Anolis sagrei: one gene and its partner. The protein of the gene in region 2 purifies or fractionates together with the protein of the main gene of each other region. This does not show direct contact. Links are inferred from orthologs where the notes say so. Each region holds a gene or a part of one and is shown on either strand. Other genes may lie near its edges.

Region 1 (10,258 bases), on a different chromosome or scaffold from region 2:
TGTGTCAAGTTTGGTCCAGATCCATCATTGTTTGAGTCCACAGTGCTCTCTGGATGTAGGTGAACTACAACTTCCAAACTCAAGGTCAATGTCCACCAAACCCTTCCAGTGTTTTCTGCTGGTCATGGAAGTCCTGTATGGCACGTTTGGTTCAATTCCATCATTGGTGGAGTTCAGAGTGCTCTTTGATTGTAGGTGAACTATAAATCCCATCAACGACAACTCCCAAATGTCAAGGTCTATTTCCCTTAAACTCCATCTGTGTTCATATTTGGGCATATGGAATATTCGTGCCAAGTTTGGTCCAGATCTATCATTGTTTGAGTCCACAGTGCTCTCTGGATGTAGGTGAACTACAACTTCCAAACTCAAGGTCAATGTCCACCAGACCCTTCCAGTGTTTTCTGTTGGTCATGGAAGTCCTGTGTGCCAAGTTTGGCCCAATTACATCATTGGTGGAGTTCAGAATGTTCTTTGATTGTAGGTGAACTATAAATACCAGCAACGACAACTTCCAAATGACAAAACCATTTTTTTTGAGTGAAGGACATACATGGGGTTGTTAGGTGTCTTGTGTCCAAATTTGGTGTCAATTCGTCCAGTGGTTTTTGAGTTCTGTGAATCCCACAAACGAACATTACATTTTTATTTATATAGATATATATACACACACAGTATACAATCAAATCACACACACACAAATATACATATATATGTATGTATGTGTGTGTATACAGGAATCCAAAGCCAAGAGTATTTTAAGGCAAATCTTGCTTCACAATGAGTCTTGTTTGACCTTGCGCCTTCAAGGTGGGCTGGACTGCAATTCCCAAGCAATATATGGCCACATTGAGAGATCAGGTTTAGCCCCAAAACTCTGCCCTTGCACTATGCTACTCTGCTGCTGAGTACGCATGCCCAGTGTGGAACACATCTCACCACACTAAAACAGTGGATGTGGCTCTTAATGAGACATGCCGCATTATCACAGGGTGTCTGCGCCCTACACCACTGGAGAAATTACACAGCTTAGCCGGTATTGCACCACCTGACATCCGCCGGGAAGTAGCAGCCAATAGTGAAAGGACCAAGGCAGAGACATCTCCAGCTCATCCCTTGTTTGGGTATCAGCCAGCACGTCAATGACTTAAATCAAGACATAGTTTTCTTAGATCTACAGAGACACTTGCTGGAACACCCCAGCAAGCGAGAGTCCAAAAGTGGCAGACCCAAACCCAGCACCTCAATCCATGGGTGATACCAGATGAACGACTCCCCCCTGGGCACTCAGAAGAGTGGGCGACTTGGAAGGCTCTGAACAGACTGTGCTCTGGCACCACGAGATGCAGAGCCAACCTTCAGAAATGGGGCCACAAAGTGGAATCCACGGCATGCGAGTGCGGAGAAGTGCAAACCACACACCACTTACTCCAATGCAGTCTGAGCCCCGCTACATGCACAATGGACAGGGGCGGCTCAACCCATTACACAAAGTAAGCATTTGCGGCATAGTTGATTTTGCACAGGGGCGCTCTTGGGGGAAAATAGACCTTGACATATGTGTTGTTACTGGGATGTATAGTTCACCTACAATCAAAGAGCATTCTGAACTCCACCAATGATGGAATTGAACCAAATATGGCACACAGAACTCCCACGATGAAAGGAAAATATATATCAGTGATTGGTTGGGGGGGGGGGGGGAATACTGTTTGCTTACCATTGAAAATTACCTAGGGCCACCTCTGACAATGGAGGACCTTCTTACAACTGAAGTCGAACGTGACCCCCCCCCCCACCCTCTCCCCAGAGATAGTAACTTATAGTTTTGCTAAGGGCAAGGACACCAGGCTGGATAACAAAGGTTAAGCCTTGGTCAGTTTGGTGGGTATCATTCAATCAAGGCTTTATGCTCTATTCTCATATGTTTACAGCAGGAGGTAACCCATTTATTACTGAAAATAATAAGAGTTGCAGAGATGCAGAGCCAATCTTAAGAAATGGGGCTATAGGGTGGAATCCTCGGCATGCGAGTGTGGAGAAGAGCAAACCACTGACCACCTGGCACCTTGAGCCCTGCCACATGCACCATGGAGGACCTTCTTGCGGCAACCCCAGAGGCACTCCAAGTGGCCAGATACTGGTCAAAGGACATTTAACCAACTACCAAGTTTGCAAAATCTGTGTTTTTTTTTCTTTTCTTTTTAATCTGTGTGTTTGTTTTGTTCTGTTAGAATTGTAATATAATGGTATAGTTGCTGATGACACGATAAATAAATAGCCCCAAAACAAAGAAAGACACCTGAGACACCTGTCGCACCTGAATAGCCATCCAGCCAGAGCTGGTAGACCTCCTCATCGATGAGAGTAGTGTTCCCCACGAAGATGTCCAGATTGCTGGCCATGTTGCCTCTGAAGATGGAACAGGAAGCTGCAAAAGGAAGGTAAAATATAATTCATTTACATCAGGCATGGGCAAACTTCATCCCTCCAGGTTTTTTGGACCTCAACTCCCACAATCAAAGGTTTCAAGCTCTGAGGATTTCCTGGAAAGGAATCTCTCTGGAGCACTGCAGTACACCCAAATACCTGGGAGTTACTCTGGACTGTACTCTGACTTATAAGAAGCACTGCTTGGTGGAGAGGTGGCTGCCAAGAGAGCAGAAATGGTCCACATTTACTAACGTTACACCGTTACGCTGTATTCCTGGCATTGGAGAGGGATTGGCTGGTGACTGCTGGAAGACCACTTGGGTTTTCTCGATGTTCAATGTCATTGGAGTTTATTTATTTATTTATTTATTTATTTGGTTTACTTTTACCCCGCCCTTCTCACCCCGAAGGGGACTCAGGGCGGCTTACACATCCAAGGCACAATTTGATGCCCATAGCATACATCAATAATAAGCAATAAAACAAAATAACAAATTAGCAAACAACAACAACAACAACACATTGCATCTAAACCCGTTAAAACCAATAAAACCAATAAAATTTCATACAAACCGATACAAACCGCTTCTTCCTTCTTGGCAGTCAGTGTTCGCTATCTCATGGTTCAGAGTTTTCTTCCACATTTATCAGTCCACATATATCAGTCCTGCCGGTCCTAATTGCCTGGTTGTCCTATCTAGTTAGCAGATTGCCCGAAGGCCTGGTCCCACAACCACGTCTTTGCCTTTCTCCTAAAGGACAGGAGTGATGTCGATGCCCTGATATCCACTGGGAGTGAGTTCCACAGGTGGGGGGCCACCACTGAGAAGGCCCTGCTCCTCGTCCCCACCAGCCTTGCTTGGGAAAGCGGTGGAGTCGAGAGCAGGGCCCCCTCAGATGATCTTAAATTCCGTGGTGGGACGTAGAGGGAGATACGTTCGGACAGATACGCTGGACCGGACCCGTACAGGGTTTTGTAGGTCAAGACCAGCACCTTGAATTGGGCTCGGAACTGAACCGGCAGCCAGTGGAGCTGACACAGCAGAGGGGTGGTGTGCTCTCTGTATGTCGCCCCAGTGAGCAGCCTGGCTGCCGCTCGCTGGACCAGTTGAAGTTTCCGAACCGTCTTCAAGGGCAACCCCACGTAGAGCGCGTTGCAGTAGTCTATTCGGGATGTAACAAGAGCGTGGACCACTGTGGCCAGATCAGACTTCCCAAGGAACGGGCGCAACTGGTGCACAAGTTTTAATTGTGCAAAAGCTCTCCCGGCCACCGCTGAGACCTGGGGTTCCAGGCTCAGCGATGAGTCCAGGATCACTCCCAAGCTGCGAACCTGCTTTTTCAGGGGGAGTGTAACCCCGTCTAACACAGGCTGTAACCCTATTCCCTGTTCGGCCTTACGACTGACCAATTACTTGCTAGGAAGTGCATCAAGGGGACGAGTATACACTGGGACAGGCATGGCATTATTGTTCATTCCTCAAAAGCAAGGTGGAACAGCCAAGTTTTCAAGCTTTTCCTAAAATATCACATGAAAGCTGTTCCTCTTTATTTTCCCATCTTTCCTTTAGTTGCTTTCCCTCATTCCTCCCTCCCTCCTTTTCTCATGTCTTCTTTCTCCTTCTTTCCTTCTCTCTTTCCATCATACAGAGAAGCCATTGAAATCCACAAGCATGAGGACAATTTCAACAGAAAGGAAGAGACCATGAAAATGAACAAAATCTGGCTACCAGTATTAAAAAAAACTCTAAAATTACAATAGCAAAACAACAGAGGGGAAACAAACAGGCACAGAAAATCACTCTCAACAAAAGATTCCCCCCAGGCACTTCCAAGCCATTGAATGCTAATCAAGCTGGCCAATTGCAACATTCACACCTAGCCCCAGCAGACAAGAGTCCTTTGTCCCACCCTGGTCATTCCACAGATATATAAACCCATTTTTCCTACTTCCAACAGACCTCATTACCTCTGAGGATGCTTGCTATAGATGCAGGCGAAATGTCAGGAGAAAATGCCTCTAGAACATGGCCTTATAGCCCGGAAAAACCTACAATAACCCAGTGATTCCGGCCATGAAAGCCTTCGACAATACATTCTGCCCCTCTCTCTCCTTACCTTTTCTCCTCTCAACCACAACCACCACCTTTCTCTGTAGTAAATAAGACCTTTTGACCCTCTTCCTGGCCAAACTGGGGCTCACGCATGCGCAGACCCCGAGTGTCACTCTCCAGGCGCCATCTTGGCTCCTGGCACTGCAACCTCTCCTCTTAAGATTCCACAGCCAACCGCATTCATAGCGAAACGCAGTCTTGTCTTTTTTTTGGTCGCTCAGGGCATCCGTCGAAGCCTCCTGTGGCGTAAAAAAAAATGAGATCATTCAACGCATGCGCACACAAACTACACCCCGTTCTCGGGATTGAACAGCATGAGCTGGGAACAGCGAAGGGTCATGCGCAGCCACGGAGCGCATGCGCCGTGCCGTGCGCGAGCATCCCTCATGAGAGCCCGAGCGGGCGGTTCGCGCAGGCGCAGTTGAGGCGGGCAAGATGGCGGCGGTGGTCCAGAATGTGGTGAAGCTGTGAGTGGAAATTTTCCTCTTGTGTTCCCCCCTCTTTTCCGTCAGGAGTGGTACAGCCCGAGCCTTTGCGAAGCGGGAGCAGAGGGCGGGCCCATTCCATTCGCAGGGGGGAAAGGGGAAATCTTTGTTGAGGGAGAAGGAGGAGAGTTGTTGGGTCTTTTTTCTTCTCATTGTTTGGCCCTAAAGTTTATGATACATATGAGCAGGATATAGTGGAGCCAGAGGAGAGAAACACAGGTGAGTCAGTGCCTTAAAGTTTCCAAAGTAAGGTTTGTGGAAGGGAAATAACACTTTTGTTACTTGAGGCGGGCCTGAGGGAAAAGGAGGCCTTCAGGAATGGAGGAAGGACAACTCCACCTCAATGAATGGTGTCCTGAGGTGGAAGGGATGTTGTTGGTGTATACTAAAGTGTGCATTGCCTGGGTTTGCTTTTTCTTTGAAGCTCTTTCTTTCCTTCCTTCTCTCTTTCCTTCATCTTTCCTTCTTCCTTCCTTCTTTTCCCATGTCTTCTTTCTCCTTCTTTCCTTCTCTCTTTCCTTCATACTCCTTCGCCCTCTCTCTTTCCCTGCCTTCCTTCAGTTGCTTTCCCTCATTCCTCCCTCTCCTTCCTTCCTTCCTTCTTTCCTCCCTCCCTCCCTCCTTCCCTCCCTCCTTCTTTTCTCATGTCTTCTTTCTCCTTTCCTTCTCCCTTTCCTTCATACTTCTCCCTCCCTCTTTCCCTTCCTTCCTTCAGTTGCTTTCCCTCATTCCTCCCTCCCCTCCCTCCCTCCCTTCCTTCCTTTTTCTCATGTCTTCTTTCTCTTTCTTTCCTTCATACTTCTTCTCCCTCTCTTTCCCTTACTTCCTTCAGTTGCTTTCCCTCATTCCTCCCTCTCCTTCCTTCCGTCATTCCTTCCTTTTTCTCATGTCTTCTTTCTCTTTCTTTCCTTCTCCCTTTCCTTGATACTTCTTCTCCCTCTCTTCCCTTCCTTCCTTCAGTTGCTTTCCCTCATTCCTCCCTCTCCCTCCTGCCTTCCTTCTTATGTCTTCTTTCTCTTTCTTTCCTTCTCTCTTTCCTTCATACTTCTCTCTCTTTCCCTTCCTTCCTTCAGTTGCTTTCCCTCATTCTTCCCTCGCCTTCCTTCCTTCCTTCTTTCCTCCCTCCCTCCTTCTTTTCTCATGTCTTCTTTCTCTTTCTTTCCTTCTCTCTTTCCTTCATACTTCTTCTCCCTCTCCTTCCTTCCTTCTTTTCTCAAGTCTTCTCTCTCTTTCTTCCCTCTCCCTTTCCTTCATACTCCTTCTCCCTCTCTCTTGTCCTTCCTTCCTTCAGTTGCTTTCCCTCAATCCTCCCTCTCCTTCCTTCCCTCCCTCCCTCCTTCTTTTCTCATGTCTTCTTTCTCCTTCTTTCCTTCCCTCTTTCCTTCATACTTCTTCTCCCTCTCTCTTTTCCCCACCTTTTCTTCAGTTGCTTTCCCTCATTCCTCCCTCTCCTTCCTTCCTTCCTTCCTTCCTTCTTTTCTCATGACTTCTTTCTCTTTCTTTCCTTCTCTCTTTCCTTCATACTTCTTCTCCCTCCCTTTCCCTTCCTTCAGTTGCTTTCCCTCATTCCTCCCTCTCCTTCCCTCCCTCCTTCTTTTCTCATGTCTTCTTTCTCTCTTTCCTTCATACTTCTTCTCCCTCCTTGCCTTCCTTCCTTCAGTTGCTTTCCCTCATTCCTCCGTCTTCTTCCTTCCCTCCTTCCTTCTTTTCCTTCTCTCTTTCCTTCATACCTCATACTCACTCTCTCTTTCCCATCTTTCCTTCATTTGCTTTTCCTCATTCCTCTCTCTTCCTTCCTTCCTTCTTTTCTCATGTCTTCTTTCTCCTTCTTTCTTTCTCTCTTTCCTTCATACTCCTTCTCCCTCTCTCTTTCCCTTCCTTCCTTCAGTTGCTTTCCCTCATTCTTCCCTCTACTTCCTTCCTTCCTTTCTTCTTTTCTCGTGTCTTCTTTCTCTTTCTTTCCTTCTCTCTTTCCTTCATACTCCTTCTCCCTCTCTTTCCATTCCTTCAGTTGCTTTTCCTCATTCTTCCCTCTCCTTCCTTCCTTCCTTCTCTCCCTCCTTCCCTCCATCCTTCTTTTCTCGTGTCTTCTTTCTCTTTCTTTCCTTCTCTCTTTCCTTCATACTCCTTCTCCCTCTCTTTCCCTTCCTTTAGTTGCTTTCCCTCATTCCTCCCTCTCCTTCCTTCCTTCCTTCCTTCCTTCCTTCCTTCCTTCCTTCCGTCTTTTCTCATGTCTTCTTTCTCTTTCTTTCCTTCTCTCTTTCCTTCATACTTCTTCTCCCTCTCTTTCCATTCTTTCCTTCAGTTGCTTTCCCTCAGCCTTCCCTCTTCTTCCTCCCTCCCTCCTTCTTTTCTCATGTCTTCTTTCTCCTTCTTTCCTTCTCTCTTTCATACTTCTTCTCCTCCCTCTTTCCCTTCCTTCAGTTGCTTTCCCTCTTTCCTCCCCTTCCTTCCCTCCTTCCTTCCTTCCTTCTTTTCTCATGTCTTCTTTCTCTTTCTTTCCTTCTCTCTTTCCTTCATACTTCTTCTCCCTCTCTTTCCCTTCCTTCCTTCATTTGCTTTCCCTCATTCCTCCCTCTCCTTCCTTCCTTCCTTCCTTCCTTCCTTCCTTCTTTTCTCATGCCTTCTTTCTCTTCCTTTCCTTCTCCCTTTCCTTCATACTCCTTCTCCCTCTCTCTTTCCCTTCATTCAGTTGGTTCCCTTCCTTCTTTCCTTCCTCCCTCCCTCTCCTTCCTTCCTTCCTTTCTCATGTCTTATTTCTCTTTCTTTCCACTCCCCTTCCTTCAGTAGCTTTCTTTCATACCTCCTTTTTCTTCCTTCCTTTCCTTTCTCATCCTTTTTCTTGACTTTTTCTTTTTCCTTCCCCCTTTCATACTTTCTCCCTCTTTCTTTTCCTTCCTTCTTTCAGTTGCTTTCCCTAATACCTCCTTTCTTCTCTCCTTCCTTCCTTTCTCATGTCATCTTTGGGCCCTCCCACAGAGCCCTATATCCCAGAATATCAAGGCAGAAAATTCCACATTATCTGAGTGTGGATTCAGATAAACCAGTTCAAAGGAGATATTGTGTGATTTTCTGCCTTGATATTCTGGGATATAGGGCTGTGTGGAAGGGCCCTTTCTCTTTCTTTCCTTCATACCCTTTCTCTTTTCCCTTTCTTCCTTTCATCAGTTGCTTTCCCTCATAACCCCTCTTCCTTCTTTCTCTCTTTCTTTCTTTCTCTTCCTTCCTTCCTCTTGTCTTCTTTTTCTTTCTTTCCTTCCCCTTCATACTTTTTCTCCCTCTCTTTTCTGTTCTTTAGTTGCCTTCCCTATCCCTTCTTTCCTTTCATTTTGCTTCCTTTCTTTTTCTTTTCTTCCCCCTTTCTTCATATTCCTTCTCTTTTTTATTCCTTCCTTCATTAGCTTTCCCTCATATCCCCTCTTCTACCTTTCTTTTCTTTCTCTTCCTTCCTTTCTCCTGCTTTTTTCTTTCTTTCTTTTCATCTTTCCTTCATACTCATTCTCATCGCTCTTTCTATCTCCCTTCTTTCAGTTACTTACCCTCTTACCTCCTTCTTCTTTCTTTCCTTCCCCTTCTTCTTTTTCTTTCCTTCCCCTTTCCTTCATACTCTTTCTCCTCCCTCTTCCTTTCTTCTTTTCTTCAGATGTGTTCCCTCTTTACTTCATCTGCCTCACTCTTTTCCTTCCTTCCTTCCTTCCCTCCTCTTCTTCTTTTTCTTTCCTTCCCCTTTCCTCCATACTCTTTCTCCTCCCTCTTCCTTTCTTCTTTTCTTCAGATGTGTTCTCTCATTACTCCATCTGCCTTACTCTTTTCCATCCTTTTTTCCTTCCTTCCTTCCTTCCTTCCTTCCTTCCTTCCTTCCTTCCATAATAATAATAATGATAATGATAACAACAACAACAACTGCAAAGACTCTGGCACAAGCCAGTCAAGGTGGTCCCAGTGGTGATCGGCACACTGGCTGCAGTGCCTAAAGACCTTGGTCTGCACTTAAACACAATTGGTGCTGACAAAATTACCATCTGCCAGCTGCAGAAGGCCACCTTACTGGGATCTGCACGCATTATTCGCTGATACATCATACAGTCCTAGACACTTGGGAAGTGTCCGACATGTGATCCAATACAACAGCCATCGGAATGTCTGCTGTGAACTCATCTTGTTGTGTTTCAAATAATAATAATAATAATAATAATAATAATAATAATAATAATAGTTTGTATTCTGCCCTATCTTCCCAGGGGACTCCAGTTACTTTCACTCATACCTCCTTCTTCCTTTCCCTTCCCCCCTTCTCATGTCTTCTTTCTCTTTCTTTCCTTCCTCCTTTCCTTCATACTCCTCCTCCCTCTTCCTTCCTTCCTTCCTTCAGTTCCCTCAGACCTCCTCTCCTTCTTTCCTTTCTTTCCCTTCTTTCTTTCTCATGTCTAATTTCTCTTTCCTTCCGCCTTTTCTTCATACTCCTTTTCCTCTCTTTTCATTTCTTCTTTTCTTCAGTTGCTTTCCCTCATTACTCCCTCTTCCTCACTCCTTTCCTTTTTTTTCTTTCCTTCATAACACTTCTCCTCCCTCTTCCTTTCTTTTTTTCTTCAGTTGCTTTCCCTCATTACTCCGTCTTCCTCCTTCCTTTCCTTTCTCTTGTCTCCTTTTACTTTTTCCTTCCTCCTTTCCTTCATATTCCTTCTCCCATTCTCTTTTACTTTCTTCTTTTCTTCAGTTGCTTTCCCTCTCATCCTTTCCTCTCTCTTTTCTTCTTCTCCTCCCCTCCCCATGACCAACAGAAAATACTGATTTTTCTGATGGTCTCTGGCGACCCCCAGGTTGAGAAACGCCGGAACATTGGAAGGAGAATGTAGTAGAGAAACTTGTATTTATTTACTATATTTGTATACCGCTCTTCTCAGCCCTTGGGCGACTCAGAGCGGTTAACAAAAGCAAAATTCAATGCTCAAAAACATTATAAAACAGTTTAAAACAATTAAAACAGTAGCATACAGTTAATATAAAACATCTCATTCGCAGATTGAAATCCAGTCTCATCATCCAATTGCTCCATATTCCTATGTTCGTTACACTGTCTGTTCAAATGCCTGCTCGAACAACCAGGTCTTCACTTTCCTCCGAAATGTCAACAGGGAGGGGGCCGATCTAATATCTATAGGAAGTGCGTTCCACAGCTGAGGGGCCACCACTGAGAAGGCCCTGTCTCTCGTCCCTACCAAACGT
Region 2 (9,819 bases):
GGTCTCAGTCTGTGAGGAGGCCTCACAGGGGGAAAGGAAAGGGCGTGAAGCTGCGAGGAATGCTGGGGGTTGGAGTCCCAAACCCCTGAAGGTGTGCCTGTAGCTTAGTAGCTGCCAGTCTGAGGTAAACCTCAGTGGGAGAAAGTCTGTCAGGAGGCCTCACAGGGGGAAAGGAAAGGGTGTGAAGCTGCGAAGAATGCTGGGACTTGGAGCCCAAAACCCCCAAAGGTGTGCCTGTAGCTTAGTAGCTGCCAGTCTGAGGTAAACCTCAGTGGGAGAAAGGTCTCAGTCTGTGAGGAGGCCTCACAGTGTGAGGAAGGCATTATGGGGTTGAGGGGGAAAAGGAAAGGGCGTGAAGCTGCGAGGAATGCTGGGAGTTGGAGTCCCAAACCCCTGAAGGTTTGCCTGTAGCTTAGTAGCTGTCAATCTGAGGTAAACCTCCGTGGGAGAAAGGTCTCAGTCTGTGAGGAGGCCTCACAGTGTGAGGAAGGCATTATGGGGTTGAGGGGGAAAAGGAAAGGGCGTGAAGCTGCGAGGAATGCTGGGAGTTGGAGTCCCAAACCCCTGAAGATGTGCCTGTAGCTTAGTAGCTGTCAATCTGAGGTAAACCTCAGTGGGAGAAAGCTCTCAGTCTGTGAGGAGGCCTCACAGTGTGACACAGGCATTGTGGGGTGGAGGGGGAAAAGGAAAGGGCGTGAAGCTGCGATGAATGCTGGGAGTTGGAGTGCAAACCCCTGAAGGTGTACCTGTAGCTTAGTAGCTGTCAATCTGAGGTAAACCTCAGTGGGAGAAAGGTCTCAGTCTGTGAGGAGGCCTCATAGTGTGAGGAAGGCATTATGGATTTGAGGGGGAAAAAGAAAGGGCGTGAAGCTGCGAGGAATGCTGGGGGTTGGAGTCCCAAACCCCTGAAGGTGTGCCTGTAGCTTAGTAGCTGTCAATCTGAGGTAAACCTCAGTGGGAGAAAGGTCTCAGTCTGTGAGGAGGCCTCTCAGTGTGAGGAAGGCATTATGGGGTTGAGGGGGGAAAGGAAAGGGCGTGAAGCTGCGAGGAATGCTGGGAGTTGGAGTCCCAAACCCCTGAAGGAGTGCCTGTAGCTTAGTAGCTGTCAGTCTGAGGTAAACCTCAGTGGGAGAAAGGTCTCAGTCTGTCAGGAGGCCTCACAGGGGGGAAAGGAAAGAGTGTGAAGCTGCGAGGAATCCTGGGAGTTGGAGTCCCAAACCCCTGAAGGTGTGCCTGTAGCTTAGTAGGTGCCAGTCTGAGGTAAACCTCAGTGGGAGAAAGGACTCAGTCTGTGAGGAGGCCTCACAATGTGAGGAAGGCCTTATGGGGTTGAGGGGGGAAAGGAAAGGCCGTGAAGCTGCGACTGTAGCTTAGTAACTGTCAATCTGAGGTAAACCTCAGTGGGAGAAAGGTTTCAGTCTGTGAGGAGGCCTCACAGTGTGAGGAAGGCATTATCGGGTTGAGGGGGGAAAGGAAAGGGCGTGAAGCTGCGAGGAATGCTGGGAGTTGGAGTCCAAAACCCCTGAAGGTGTGCCTGTAGCTTAGTAGCTGTCAATCTGAGGTAAACCTCAGTGGGAGAAAGGTCTCAGTCTGTGAGGAGGCCTCATAGTGTGAGGAAGGCATTATGGATTTGAGGGGGAAAAAGAAAGGGTGTGAAGCTGCAAGGAATGCTGGGGGTTGGAGTCCCAAACCCCTGAAGGTGTGCCTGTAGCTTAGTAGCTGTCAATCTGAGGTAAACCTCAGTGGGAGAAAGGTCTCAGTCTGTGAGGAGGCCTCTCAGTGTGAGGAAGGCATTGTGGGGTTGAGGGGGGAAAGGAAAGGGCGTGAAGCTGCGAGGAATGCTGGGAGTTGGAGTCCCAAACCCCTGAAGATGTGCCTGTAGCTTAGTAGCTGTCAATCTGAGGTAAACCTCAGTGGGAGAAAGCTCTCAGTCTGTGAGGAGGCCTCTCAGTGTGAGGAAGGCATTATGGGGTTGAGGGGGAAAAGGAAAGGGCGTGAAGCTGCGAGGAATGCTGGGAGTTGGAGTCCCAAACCCCTGAAGATGTGCCTGTAGCTTAGTAGCTGTCAATCTGAGGTAAACCTCAGTGGGAGAAAGCTCTCAGTCTGTGAGGAGGCCTCACAGTGTGACACAGGCATTGTGGGGTGGAGGGGGAAAAGGAAAGGGCGTGAAGCTGCGATGAATGCTGGGAGTTGGAGTGCAAACCCCTGAAGGTGTACCTGTAGCTTAGTAGCTGTCAATCTGAGGTAAACCTCAGTGGGAGAAAGGTCTCAGTCTGTGAGGAGGCCTCATAGTGTGAGGAAGGCATTATGGATTTGAGGGGGAAAAAGAAAGGGCGTGAAGCTGCGAGGAATGCTGGGGGTTGGAGTCCCAAACCCCTGAAGGTGTGCCTGTAGCTTAGTAGCTGTCAATCTGAGGTAAACCTCAGTGGGAGAAAGGTCTCAGTCTGTGAGGAGGCCTCTCAGTGTGAGGAAGGCATTATGGGGTTGAGGGGGGAAAGGAAAGGGCGTGAAGCTGCGAGGAATGCTGGGAGTTGGAGTCCCAAACCCCTGAAGGAGTGCCTGTAGCTTAGTAGCTGTCAGTCTGAGGTAAACCTCAGTGGGAGAAAGGTCTCAGTCTGTCAGGAGGCCTCACAGGGGGGAAAGGAAAGAGTGTGAAGCTGCGAGGAATCCTGGGAGTTGGAGTCCCAAACCCCTGAAGGTGTGCCTGTAGCTTAGTAGGTGCCAGTCTGAGGTAAACCTCAGTGGGAGAAAGGACTCAGTCTGTGAGGAGGCCTCACAATGTGAGGAAGGCCTTATGGGGTTGAGGGGGGAAAGGAAAGGCCGTGAAGCTGCGACTGTAGCTTAGTAACTGTCAATCTGAGGTAAACCTCAGTGGGAGAAAGGTTTCAGTCTGTGAGGAGGCCTCACAGTGTGAGGAAGGCATTATCGGGTTGAGGGGGGAAAGGAAAGGGCGTGAAGCTGCGAGGAATGCTGGGAGTTGGAGTCCAAAACCCCTGAAGGTGTGCCTGTAGCTTAGTAGCTGTCAATCTGAGGTAAACCTCAGTGGGAGAAAGGTCTCAGTCTGTGAGGAGGCCTCATAGTGTGAGGAAGGCATTATGGATTTGAGGGGGAAAAAGAAAGGGTGTGAAGCTGCAAGGAATGCTGGGGGTTGGAGTCCCAAACCCCTGAAGGTGTGCCTGTAGCTTAGTAGCTGTCAATCTGAGGTAAACCTCAGTGGGAGAAAGGTCTCAGTCTGTGAGGAGGCCTCTCAGTGTGAGGAAGGCATTGTGGGGTTGAGGGGGGAAAGGAAAGGGCGTGAAGCTGCGAGGAATGCTGGGAGTTGGAGTCCCAAACCCCCGAGGGGCCAGGGAACCAATCAGGAGGCGAGCTGGGACCCACCTGACGATGTTCTTGTGCTTGAGTTCCTTCAGGAGGCAGATCTCCCTCAAGGCCGAGCTGGGCACCCCCTGCAGGGCGAGGGAGGAAGCACAGCCTGGGTCCTTCTGCGCATGCTCCCCGCGCATCGCCTCCCTGGGGACTGCGTTAAAAGGGCAAGGGAAGGCGGAGGGGGGCCCACCGCTAGCCCACCCACCCCAACTAGCCCACCCACCCACCTCGTCGTCGTCGTCCAGGCGGACCCGCTTCAGGGCCACGATCTCGTGGGTCTCGCGGTTCTTGGCCTTGAAGACGGTCCCGTAGGTGCCTTAAAAGGGGGAGGGGGACACAGGGGGGGGGGTCAAAGAACGCCCCCTCCTCTCCCCTTCTGCAGATGCAAAGAGGGACCCCCACCCACTCCAAACAAACCTTCCCCGATCTTCTCCAGCTTCTCATATTTCTGCATCTTCTCCCTCTCTCTGTCTCTCTCTGTCTGTGTTCTGCAACCGGGTGGAGACTACAACTCCCAGCATGCCTTGAATGGCTGCAAAAAGGGGCGGAGACTACACCTCCCGGCAGCCCCTGCGCCACAAGGCCTGCTGCAGAGGGCTTATCGGGATGCCCCGCCTCCTCCTCTTGGCCCCGCCTCTCTCCCTAACCCTAATATTATTTAATAGGGAGGGAGGAGGCGTGGCCATTATTAATATTATTACTAATATTATTAATATTATTAATAATATTAAATAATATTAAATAATATTATTTAATAACAAAATAACAAATAAGAATAAAATAATAAATGTAATAAAAATAAAATAATAACTTTAATAAAATAATAAAATGTAATAATAATAATAATTTATTATTAGTATTACATTTTATTATTTTATTTTATTAATATTATTTTATTATTAATATATTTTATTTTTATTATATTATTATTATTTTATTACATTCATTATTTTATTATATTATTATTATTATATTATATTTTTATTATATTATTATTATTTTATTACATTCATCATTTTATTTTATTATTATTATTATTACTTTATTATTATTATTATATTTTATTTTTATAATTATATTATTTTATTACATTTATTATTTTATTTTTATATTATTATTATTATTATTATGTTTTATTATTATTATATTATTATTTTATTACATTTATTATTATTTTTTATTATTATTTTATTATATTATTATTTTATTGCATTTATTATTTTTATTATTTTGTTATTTTTATATTTTATTATTATTATATTATTATTTTATTACATTCATCATTTTAATGTATTTTATTACATTCATCATTTTATTTTATTACTTTTATTATTATTATATTTTATTTTTATTATTATATTATTTTATTACATTTATTATTTTATTTTTATATTATTATTATTATGTTTTTTATTATTATATTATTATTTTATTGCATTTATTATTATTATTATTTTGTTACTATTATTATATTATTATTATATTATTATTTTATTACATTTATTATTTTATTTTATTACTATTATTTTATTATTTTATTTTATTATTTTATTATTATTTTATTGCATTTATTATTATTATTTTGTTATTTTTATATTTTATTATTATTATATTATTATATTATTATTTATTACATTTATTATTTTATTATTATTATATTATTATATTTTATTCTTATATTATTATTTTATTGCATTTATTATTATTATTATTTTGTTATTTTTATATTGTATTATTATTATTATATTATTATTTTATTACATTTATTATTTTATTTTATTATTATTATTATTATGACTACTGCCCCGCCTCCTCTTCTTGGCTCCGCCCCTTTCCTCCACGTGGCCACGCCTCCTCAAGTCCCTAAAAAGTCCCAGGCCTGCCACAGAGTATTATGACTATTGCCCCGCCTCCTCCTCTTGGCTCCTCCTCTTTTCCCCCTTCACGTGGCCACGCCCCTTTCCCCTCTCTTCCTCCCCCTCCTCTAGGGGCGCGCACGTGTCCGCCGTCCCCTCCTCCTCCTCCGTGCGCGCGCCTGGCCTGGGCCTGCCCGCCTCCTTCCCTTCCCTTTGCGCATGCGCTGCCCTTCCTGAAGCCCAGAGCTGGCCAAGCCAGCCAGGCAGAGTGAGGCAGGCAGGCAGGCGGGCGCGCGCACGCGCAGGCACGCACGCAAGGGGTTCCCTCCATCGGCGGCGCTCCTGCTTGGTGAGTGAGTGACTGAGAGAGGGAGGGAGGGGCTTTGAGAGTGGGAGGGGGGCTTGGGGGAGAGGAGGGGAGGGGGCCCAGACCTCCCTTCGGCCTCTCCTGCGTCCAGAGGTGGAAAAGAGGGAGGGAGGGGCGCATCCCAGCGAGAGGGCACTCTGCACATGCTCAGGGGACCCCTGCAAATCCCACTCACCCCCACACCCCCATCCTCCCCCATCCCTCAAGGCCTTGGGAGGGAGCCTGGGAACCTCTGGGCGTGGCCCTCCCTCCCTCCCTCCTAGCCACGCCCTCCCCTGCCTTCCCACGAGGGATGGCGCAACCACCCCACACCCACACCCACTCCCCCCCCAGTTCTCAAGAATCTTGGAACTAGGAGGGACCCTCAAAGGGCATCCAGACTCGCCCCTTCCTTCCTTCTTTCTTTCCTTTCCTTCCTTCCTTCTTTCCCTTCTTTCCCTTCTTTCCTTCCTTCCTTCCTTCCTTCTTCCTTTCTCCTTTCCTTCCTTCCTTCTTTCTTTCCCTTCTTTCCTTCCTTCTTTCCTTCCTTCCTTCCTTCCTTCCTTCTTTCCCTCCTTTCCTTCCTTCCTTCCTTCTTCCTTTCCCTTCCTTCCTTCCTTCCTTCCTTCTTTCTTTCCCTTCTTTCCTTCCTTCCTTCTTCCTTTTCTTTCCTTCCTTCCTTCCTTCCTTCTTTCTTTCCCTCCTTTCCTTCCTTCCTTCCTTCCTTCCTTCCTTCCTTCTTTCCTTTCCCTTCCTTCCTTCCTTCCTTCCTTCTTTCCCTCCTTTCCTTCCTTCTTTCCTTCCTTCCTTCCTTCTTTCTTTCCCTTCCTTCCTTCCTTCCTTCTTTCCCTCCTTTCCTTCCTTCTTTCCCTCCTTTCCTTCCTTCTTTCCTTCCTTCCTTCCTTCCTTCTTTCCTTCCTTCCTTCCTTCCTTCTTTCCTTCCTTCCTTCCTTCCTTCCTTCTTTCCCTCCTTTCCTTCCTTCTTTCCTTCCTTCCTTCCTTCCTTCCTTCCTTCTTTCTTTCTTTCCCTTCCTTCCTTCCTTCTTTCCTTCCTTCCTTCCTTCTTTCCCTCCTTTCCTTCCTTCTTTCCTTCCTTCCTTCCTTCCTTCCTTCCTTCCTTCCTTCTTTCCCTCCTTTCCTTCCTTCTTTCTTTCCCTTCCTTCCTTCCTTCTTTCCCTTCCTTCTTTCCTTCTTTCCTTCCTTCCTTCCTTCCTTCCTTCCTTCCTTCTTTCCCTCCTTTCCTTCCTTCTTTCCTTCCTTCTTTCCTTCGGTAAAGCCTTCCCGACAGATGGCCACCCAGCCTCTGCTTGACATCCCACCAGGGAAGTCCAGCAATTTTTTTATTTATCGTGTCAGGAGCAAAACACAGTTGTATTGCATTTTTAAACAAACAAACCAACAATGAACCCACCCTTTTAAGGAGAGGCTGAGTGGTCATCTGTAAGGGATGGTTTGATTGTGCTTTCCCTGCTTCTTGGCAGAATGGGATTGGACTCGAGGATGGCCCACCAAGTCTCTTCCAACTATAGGATTCTATACAAAGCTGCAATTATATATAAGTATGTGTGCCATTGCTTAGTAGATGTCGGTCTGAGGCAAACCTCAGTGGGAGAAAGGTCTGTGAAAAGGCCTCACAGTGTGAGGTAAGCATTATGGGGTTGGACTGGATGGCCCTCCAGGTCTCTTCCAACTCTTCTAGGATTGTATACAAAGCTGCAGTTCTATATAAGCAGGTGTGCCTGTAACTTAGTAGCTGTCAGTCCGAGGTAAACCTCAGTGGGAGAAAGGTCTCAGTCTGTGAGAAGGCCTCACAGTGTGAGGAAAGCATTATGGGGTTGGAATGGGTGGCTCACTAGGTCTCTTCCAACTCTAGGACTCTATGAAAAGCTGTAGGTTAGTAGCTGTCGTTCTGAGGTAAACCTCAGTGGGAGAAAGGTCTCACTCTGTGAGAAGACCTCTCAGTGTGAGATAGGCATTACGGGGTTGGACTGGTTGGCCCAAAGGTCTCTTCCAACTTTCTAGGATTTTATGAAAAGCTGCCTTTCTATATAAGAAGGTGTGCCTGTAACCTTGTAGCTGTCAGTCTGAGGTAAACCTCAGTGGGAGAAAGGTCTCAGTCTGTGAGGAAAGCATTATGGGGTTGGACTGGATGGCCAAGTCTCTTCCAACTCTAGGACTCTACGAAAAGCTATAGCTTAGTAGCTGTCGGTCTGAGGTAAACCTCAGTGGGAGAACGGTCTCAGTCTGTGAGAAGGCCTCACGGTGTGAGGTAGGCATTATGAGGTTGGACTGGATGGCCCACCAGCTCTCTTCCAACTCTAGGATTCCATGAAAAGCTGTAGCTTAGTAGCTTAGTAGCTGTCGGTCTAAGGTAAACCTCAGTGGGAGTAAGGTCTCAGTCTGCGAGAAGGCCTCTCAGTGTGAGGGAGGCTTGATGGAGTTGGAAGGGATGGCCCACCAGGTCTCTTCTAACTAGGATTCTATGAAAAGCTACAGATCTTGGAGTCCTCGTGGACAACAGGTTAAACATGAGCCAACAATGTGATGTGGCGGCAAAAAAAGCCAATGGGATTTTGGCCTGCATCAATAGGAGCATAGTGTCTAGATCTAAGGAAGTAATGCTACCCCTCTATTCTGCTTTGGTTAGACCACATCTGGAATATTGTGTCCAATTCTGGGCACCACAATTCAAGAGAGATATTGACAAGCTGGAGAGTGTCCAGAGGAGGGCGACTAAAATGATCAAGGGTCTGGAGAACAAGCCCTATGAGGAGCGGCTTAGGGAACTGGGCATGTTTAGCCTGAAGAAGAGAAGGCTGAGAGGAGATATGATAGCCATGTATAAATATGTGAGAGGAAGCCACAGGGAGGAGGGAGCTAGCTTGTTTTCTGCTTCCTTGGAGACTAGGACACGGAACAATGGCTTCAAACTACAAGAAAGGAGATTCCATCTGAACATTAGGAAGAACTTCCTGACTGTGAGAGCCGTTCAGCAGTGGAACTCTCTGCCCCGGAGTGTGGTGGAGGCTCCTTCTTTGGAAGCTTTTAAACAGAGGCTGGATGGCCATCTGTCAGGGGTGATTTGAATGCAATATTCCTGCTTCTTGGCAGGGGGTTGGACTGGATGGCCCATGAGGTCTCTTCCAACTCTTTGATTCTATGATTCTATGATTCTACAGTTCTATATAAGCAGGTGTGCCTGTAGCTTAGTAGCTGTCGTCTGAGGTAAACCTCAGTGGGAGAAAGTTCTCAATCTGTGTGAAGGCCTCACAGTGTGAGGAAGGCATGATGGGGTTGGACTGGATGGCCCACCAAGTCTCTTCAAACTCTAGGATTCTATGAAAAGCTGTAGCTTAATAGCTTAGTAGCTGTCAGTCTGAGGTAAACCTCAGTGGGAGAAAGTTCTCAATCTGTGTGAAGGCCTCACAGTGTGAGGTAGGTGTTATGGAGTTGGACTGGGTGGCCCACCAGGTCTCTTCCAACTCTAGGATTACATGAATGAGCCCATTCATCTTGAAGTTTACCCTCGCCACCCCCTTCTTAGTACCACCCATTTCCCCAGGCAAAAAGACCCCATCCGATCCCTCCCGACAGACGTCCACGCAGCCTCTGCTTCCAAACCTGCAAGGAAGGAGATTCCAGTAGACTCAGTCCCGGGAAGTAGTAAATTCCTTCCTTTTCCCAAAGTTTCCACCCACGGCTCCATTGAGTCTGTCCTCCCAAATGACATACATCCCTCCCTGTTGACGTTCCTGTAGGGCAGGTGTGGTCAAACTTGGTCTCTGCAGGTGTTTTGGACTTCAACTCCCACCATTCCTGGCCTCAGGCCCCTTCCTTTCCCCCCTCAGCCGCTTAAGCGGCTGAGGGGGGAAAGGAAAGGGCCTGAGGCCAGGAATGGTGGGAGTTGAAGTGCAAAACACCTGCAGAGACAACATTTGCGCATACCTGCTTCAGGCCTAGCTTTAACGAAGCCGTGCTCCTGCCAATTGCACTCCTTCCAGACTGATTTAATGTCCTCACTCACTTAAGGAAACTATTTACATCCGCCCTGACCGATATCGTCGGATCTCCGTTGGCATGCCAGGACACCCTATCCATCAATCTGGACAATGGGAAACAATTCAAAAAGTGTTGCTAAACAATTTTGGCAAGGTGAGCGCCGCACGATCGGTTGGGACTGCCTCAAACCGTCTCCAACTGCGGCCCAAAGTGCAGATTTGGCAGAACCCGTTGGGCCCAAATATTTTGGAT

Evidence for each region. The genes of interacting proteins can lie anywhere in the genome.
Region 1: the proteins of CDK5 (region 2) and FIBP purify together in Homo sapiens (affinity purification with mass spectrometry; 7 studies listed by BioGRID and IntAct, counting the BioPlex papers as one, with this or other methods). This does not show direct contact. The link is inferred for Anolis sagrei from reciprocal best matches to the Homo sapiens genes CDK5 and FIBP.

The regions. Positions count from the first base shown.
Region 1 is NC_090032.1:10,256,176-10,266,433, reverse strand, and holds the start of FIBP (acidic fibroblast growth factor intracellular-binding protein), read right to left. Parts: upstream 4,894-10,258; 5' UTR 4,814-4,893; coding exon 4,552-4,813; intron 2,432-4,551; coding exon 2,321-2,431; intron 1-2,320. Other genes in the region: DPF2 (zinc finger protein ubi-d4), read left to right, coding at 4,983-5,014. UniProt on the Homo sapiens protein: May be involved in mitogenic function of FGF1. May mediate with IER2 FGF-signaling in the establishment of laterality in the embryo.
Region 2 is NC_090026.1:133,783,003-133,792,821, forward strand, and holds the start of CDK5 (cyclin-dependent kinase 5), read right to left. Parts: upstream 3,940-9,819; 5' UTR 3,821-3,939; coding exon 3,784-3,820; intron 3,683-3,783; coding exon 3,594-3,682; intron 3,447-3,593; coding exon 3,379-3,446; intron 1-3,378. UniProt on the Homo sapiens protein: Proline-directed serine/threonine-protein kinase essential for neuronal cell cycle arrest and differentiation and may be involved in apoptotic cell death in neuronal diseases by triggering abortive cell cycle re-entry. Interacts with D1 and D3-type G1 cyclins.